2 linked regions of the Bombyx mori genome follow. The protein of the gene in region 1 binds, or shares a complex with, the protein of each later gene. Links are inferred from orthologs where the notes say so. Each region holds a gene or a part of one and is shown on either strand. Other genes may lie near its edges.

What was found.
Region 2: COP9 signalosome complex subunit 7b (region 1) and COP9 signalosome complex subunit 4 share a complex: the UniProt entries of both Drosophila melanogaster proteins name them as parts of the CSN complex. The link is inferred for Bombyx mori from reciprocal best matches to the Drosophila melanogaster genes CSN7 and CSN4.

What each region holds. Positions count from the first base shown.
Region 1 is NC_085114.1:3,666,931-3,671,438, reverse strand, and holds the start of COP9 signalosome complex subunit 7b, read left to right. Parts: upstream 1-1,684; 5' UTR 1,685-2,076; coding exon 2,077-2,271; intron 2,272-2,407; coding exon 2,408-2,660; intron 2,661-4,330; coding exon 4,331-4,508. Other genes in the region: zinc finger protein 615, read right to left, coding at 127-352, 661-786. UniProt on the Drosophila melanogaster protein: Component of the COP9 signalosome complex (CSN), a complex involved in various cellular and developmental processes.
Region 2 is NC_085109.1:10,720,588-10,723,195, reverse strand, and holds part of COP9 signalosome complex subunit 4, read right to left. Parts: intron 2,371-2,608; coding exon 2,185-2,370; intron 1,155-2,184; coding exon 1,036-1,154; intron 3-1,035; coding exon 1-2. UniProt on the Drosophila melanogaster protein: Component of the COP9 signalosome complex (CSN), a complex involved in various cellular and developmental processes.

The sequences.
Region 1 (4,508 bases):
AGAACTTTATTTATCTAATTTAAGCTTAAAATTAAAATTTAATTTGAATTTAAGCAATTAATGCTAAATAAGCAAAAAGCTGACTAGTAAGCGATTGTAAGCCTTAAAACAGTTAATAATACCCACTATGTATTGTCGCTGTTTGGTTTTGTTGTGAAACCCTGTTTATAGTATGGGTTGGAGCTTCATTCAGAACAAACATAGCTCTCCTGGCCGTCACCGGAGCTCCTGCTGTGACAACCCTTGTGACTTGAGCCCCCGAGTTGGATACTGCCACAGCAACAGCACCCACTTTATCTTGGACTTGCGGTGTCTTGTGAGACATAACAGTGAGTGTTGTCTCTGGAGACACCTGAAATGTTTTATTTATTGTTGATTATTTGTTTTTATTTATAAAATGATTTTAAGTCTTTACTGAAATGAAACCTATTTTGAAACAAAATAGCACATATAAGTACACAATTTCATAATAGCTTTTTTTTGTTGCTAAATATTAAAATAACTAGAAAATTTACTTCAAGTGAAAGCTGATTGTTGTTAATTTCATTCAATCTTGCTTATGGTTAAAACTTTGAGAGGATGCACTTTGAAATTAAAGTGCACAATAAATGTTTACTCTAAAGTGCTTCAGTTATTTAATTTATTTTATTTAGACCTTACCGTACTCCCAAGCGAATAACTGAGGCTGCTCGGAGTTTCGACATCGCCCTTGGTAAGGTCCGCGGAACTCGTAAAGCCCCAAGAATAACCGAAACCCGAAACATTGTTCGGTGTTGGCATACACATTTTCACCACAATATAAACTTCACTACATAGAAATGTAAACGCACTAACACAGATTCACTATTTGATAGTAAACAGTCCTCATGACAGTTTTATCATTGCGAACATGTATGTACGACCTCACAACCACACACGCAAAACGCACTCATTGACAGCGACGCCGAATATCAAGCGAAAACAACACTAATTTACAACTTGTGATGGTGTTCTGTGTAAATAACGATGAATCTTAACTTTAGACGACATCTAAATTAGTTTAATCAACCCAATATAAAAGGCGGCCCAGAACAACGACGCTTCAACGAACATTGACACGCACATTATTTACAATAAATAGTACGTTATTAGAAGTCATATATGCATTTATAAGCTTCATAATTACATATAAAATAAAAAACACTTTCGTATGTCAAAAAAAATTGGAGAAAATCCAGATTTTTATGAAAACAATTAATTTATCGCACACACAAAAAACCTGACGCCATTTTATTATTTATGGTCATTTGAAAACTGAAGCATAAACTTTTAAATTTCTAGTTTTTTTTTTGTCAAAGACAAACTTTATAAAATTCTTGAAATTAGTTTATTTTTTAAGCCCTATAACTAATCAATCAAAGCTGTAGTTTCACTAAAAGATTTTTGGTATTATGAATAAATGTACTTCTCTGCATACTGTTCTACTTTTGAATTAATTTCTATTTAAATTGGCTGAATTTTTCATCCTAAACGCTTTAGAACTAACAAAAATTACGTGATTTAATTACACCACATTCTTTACATGAAATGTCAATATTCTTGGGGTATTTTTTAATTTATCTTAGTTACTTGATACATAGGTAATAAATTTATGCACTCATAGTCTGACTTCTTTGCAATATTACTAATTAAGACAAGCTCTTCAAGAACTCAAGTACCTGACTTTTCATAGATTTAAGTATAATCTGCCACCATCATGTTCTTTATGGAAATTGAATACATATTTTATGATAGATTTCAAATTTGAAGTAAACTAAACCTACAAATAAATACATCCGTTCGTTATGTATAATAATAATAATATTAAAGTATCAACAGCTAGCAATATAAATGTAGAAACAGCCTGTCATCAACTGTCACTGTCAACTTAAAATTACCAAAGAAAGTATAAAATACCTACCTACCTAGGTAGGTACATAAATATAACAGTTTAAACCTTAAATCTGAGTTTGATACTTTTTCCCTAACATATAGATTCAATATAGAATTGACCTATTTCCCGTTTATGAAATAGACATAGACGTCTTAAAATTCAAAATGAATCCGATGTCAATGGACCGAGATGAACCTTCCTCATTGTTATCATTTTCCTCCAATCACCCTCTAGAACAGTTTGTCCTTTTAGCAAAGGGAGCTAAAGGTTCTGCGTGCGCTGAACTCATCAAACAGGTTCTGGAGGCTCCAGGAGTGCATGTTTTCGGCGAGCTATTAGAGATGCCAAATATTAAAGAGGTTAGAAAACTTACCTTTATATCGATCAATTAATTCTAATACATTTTTAACCATTAAATGTATGAAACTGTCCGAATTCTATGGGTAGAAATCAATTTGGCGCTCTTGTTAAAATTCATTTTATTGTATTTTTCAGCTGGAGAGTGGACCTTATGCAACTCATTTAAAAACTCTTAATTTGTTTGCCTATGGCACATATAAGGACTACATTGAGAACAAATCGGACTATTTAGAATTAACCACAGTCCAGTGCAAGAAATTACAGCATCTGACCATTGCAACACTTGCAACACAAGAGAAATGTATCCCTTACAGTGTGTTACTTGAGGAATTGGATATTAAAAATGTTAGAGATTTAGAAGATCTTATCATTGAAGCTATTTATGCAGGTGAGTTGATTTTCCTACTATAGTGTATATACAAACAGTCCCTAATAAAAAAAGTGTCAGAGTTGTTGATTCATAAAACAGTATTAAAATTCAAGTTTGACTACATGCATTTTATACCTTGTTTTTTTCTTTTTCGAGTTATTCTTGTGGTGTATATGAGAAAACAATTCAGTGCCGAATTTGATGTAGTATCTAATTTATTTAGTTCATGTTTTATATAGATTAAAGCCACATATATAAAATGTGCATTGATAAAGAATACATATACACTAAATAAGCATAACTTCTAAAGTGTCCATATAAAAAAAAATCATTAAATCTTAAATGAATTTAGCTACCAATACAAATAGGAAACTGATGCTACAATGACATGAGCCATGAGCCCTACTATTATGTCTTCAGATAATTTAATGCATCTTAGTGGAATAAAGTTGGTATGAAGTCGTCGTGGCCTAAAGGATAAGACGTCCGGTTAATTCATGTTGAAGCGATGCAAAGGTGTTCGAATCTCGCAGGCGGGACCAATTTTTCTAATGAAATATGTACTCAACAAATGTTCACGATTGATTTCCACGGTAAAAGAATAACATAGTGTAATAAAAATCAAACCCGGCAAAATTATAATTTGCGTAATTACTGGTGGTAGGACCACTTGTGAGTGCGCGCGGATATCTACCACCGCCCTGCCTATTTCTGCCGTGAAGCAGTAATGCGTTTCGGTTTGAAGGGTGGGGTAGCCGTTTTAACTATACTGAAACTTTAGAACTTGTATCTCAAGGTGGGTGGCGTCTACGTTGTAGATGTCTATGGGCTCCAGTAACCACTTAACACCAGGTGGGCTGTGAGCTCGTCCACCCATCTAAGCAATAAAAAAATTACTTAATTAAAAAAAAAGTTTTATCATAAAAAATTCAATTACAATTTGAGGTTTTACAATATAACTATTGGTTTACCTTATAATTACAAGTACTTATGCTTAGTAAGTCAATGTTATGTTCCCTGTTTGAGTTTGTATGCCCTGAAAACAGTTTAACATCCTTTTATTTATCCATATAAGCATATATTTATTTTGATTTTTCTTTTACTATTTTATTTTGTTTTTACCTTCGTAGAAGGGGAGATCAATCTATTCCATGTGGTAGTAAGTAGTTGTAGGGAAACAAATAAATCTGAATGTGAATATAGCAAGCAAACATCAATAAACAATTACTTTCTAAAAATAGCATTTTTGCACTTCTCATTATGACCATGGCAACTAATTAACAATGCATTCCTTTTAATTATTACTTGTATAAAATTAAGTTCAATAAAAACCTCATTAGACAGATAGTGTGTATTCTTTATTTTACATCAATATAAACATAAATACAAAACATACATCACACAAAAGTAGAATGGGCAGTCTTATTGTCAAGAGGATTCTATTCCAGATAACCATGAAGTGGACAAGAATCACATGAGGAAATAAATTAACCGCAGTGTACTTATTAGTTAAAAGATATTTTTTTAAATATGCACAATATAACAATATATAGATATACAGTATAAACTCATTAGGAGTAGAATACCTTGACGATTTGAATATACATACATGATGTTGAACTATTTTACTGTTACAATAGACCACTCGCACGATAATTGGAAATAATTTACATACTATACTTCCATAGACATAATTCACGGCAAGTTGGACCAGGAATGTAAACGTGTGGAAGTGGACGTGGCCCTTGGCAGAGATGCGCGGCTTGAAGATGCAGCTTCCATTGCTGATGTCCTGGCCGACTGGTGCAATGCTTGTGAAGCAGTACTCAATTCTGTAGATCAACACATACAGAGAGCTAATCATCA
Region 2 (2,608 bases), on another chromosome or scaffold:
TCCTGTAACATTTTAGATAAAAGACATTACTTTTTAATACGCTTTTATTAGCTTCAGACGTATGTAGGTATGTTAGTATGTAACGGAATCTTTGAACATGATATTGACCCCCTTGAAAACGTCGGATTAACTCGAAATTTGGTATACTTATTAATTAAGGACCGATGACAATTCGATATTTAAAAAAAAATTGAATTAAATTGTAATTCAACTAAAAAATGAAAAATAAATAATAGTTTAAAAAAACTAAACAAATACGCTTTTATAGAAAAACATTTTACACGCTTTTTTTTACAATAAAATTATTGATATTGATATATAATTATTGATATATAAATTATTGATTATTATTAATAAAACATTTTTTCTTACACTATGTTTAATTCAAATTTCTTAAAATGTATTTTCTATTTTTTTGTTGGATTTTCTATAAAAGCGTGTTTTGTTAGTTTTTTTTAATTATTTAAATATTAAATTTAAAATAAATTTAAATTACTTTGACGAATATTAACTACTCCTACAGCTGCTCCTATTTCTCACTAGTATAGGAAAAGCCTGCGCATAGAAAATCCCACCACTCTACCTTGATCTACCGCGATATAATCACGCGTTCCAGTTAGGGAGAATTTTTGATACATTCCTGCTACGCTGTGAGAGTGTCCTAATGTTATGTGGGCGCTTATTAATGAAAGATTAATGTATTCGAAAACTGTAAAGTATTTTTGAGGTGTTGATTAAATTATCATTCGGTAAATAAAGATAACTCTAACAAAGCACCATAAAATTGTTGACACTGGTATGACTACTTAACAGTAGAAATGGATATTAAAAAGACTAGCATGTCTAATGAAATGAAAAAAAATGCACCATTTTTTATGTAGTGACTTAGACTTAGACTGTAGTGACTTAAATGTTCTGATCTGAAGCTGTGGTCTTATTACAAAAATATTGTGTAATATAATCAATGTGTCAATGTCTTATCGATTTTCTATTTTTGCAGCCCAACAATCTTAGCATTACATTGAAATCAATTACCAGCAGATGCCAACACGGTGCATATAAGGGCATTCCTGAGGCACGTCATCCGCTCGTCCTCGTGGATAATGTTACGATATGACAATTCATTGTACCTTTGAGCCGCTTCGATGAATTTCCTAAAACAAACCAATTTTTATTTCTTTTTGTTTATGTTGCAATGTCGAGAATTGCGAATGTCTCACTTTTTTTTTTCCTACCTAATCTGATAGCCTTGAGAGGCTATTTCAACGTAACCTTAACTAGTAGGTGAGCTGACGGGGCTCAAACCTGACGACGTTGCTAACACGAACCCTAGCAAGAGCAGTGCTTAGCAGAATCTACCACGGTGTCGGAAACGCGACCCACTGAGAAGATCCGGCGAGAAACTCAGTGGGCTGTGTCTGAGGGTTAATTTACTCGTCGAGCCCTTCGTCGCAAGCGACGGGTTCGACGCGTTCCCGCTTGAATGCCTTGAGACACGAAATTAAAGTCTCAGTTGTTAATAACGTTTCACCCTTTCAGCTGGACATAGTTGCATCGCTTCGATGATAGATTTTGCGAATGTAGTGTTCGCTCAGTGACCAGTACCTAAACTACTCCCACAAAATTTTACAATTTCTCTTTTTAGGTTAACCCTCGAAGCTAAGGTGAGCAATGTGGATCTTCACAATGATCTGGGTGTCGAACGCATTGGTAAGTACACCGCGCGCCTTATCCTTTAGATCACGACTTTTTTTATTGCATATTTGAATGGACGAGCTCACAGCCCACCTGGTGTTAAGTGGTTACCGTAGTCCATTAACATCTACAACATAAATGCGCCACCCACCTTGATATATAAGTTCTAAGGTCTGAACTATAGTTACAACGGCTGCCCCGACCTTCAAACCGAAACGCATTACTACTTCACGGCAGAAATAGGCAGGGTGGTGGTACCTACTCGCGCGGACTCACAAGAGGTCCTACCATCAGTAAAAACTTCTTGCAATACCTTCATATTTATGAATTTCTGTATTTAAAATTTATCAGATTGACTATTAAGAACTGTATTGGCATCATTTGAAACACAATAAAAACACGTCACATCTAAAGATTTAGAAGTAATGGCCCTTTTTTTTAAACCTAAATTGTTGCTGACAAAACTATTCAGCGGTATAAAATATATACCTTCTATAATCTAAAACTCTTGCATAGCAAACTTTGTAATATATCTGCAGTTGCTCGTTGGTTGTTTCGGCCTGTAGCAATGAGGCTCTGTTGACGAATGCCTCAGCTTGCACCGGATCGTCCACTTCAAGGTACAGTCTGGCTATCTTTAGGTACGTTTCCAGTTTGTAATCAACTGAATATTGTCTAAAAATGAAATTTTAAATATAATCAAGAGGTCATGTTCTTTTTTTATTTCATGGAAACATTTTCAACAAAAAAAGATATCCACTGTAATTTGTGTTACAAAATCTATAAACGTTTTATGTATAAGCTAGTGCAATTAAATTTTTCATATTGGAGTTGTTTAAAAGGTATAATATAAAACTCAACATAGCAGTGGTATGTACTACATACCCAGATAAACTGCTCCCCTTCATGGATT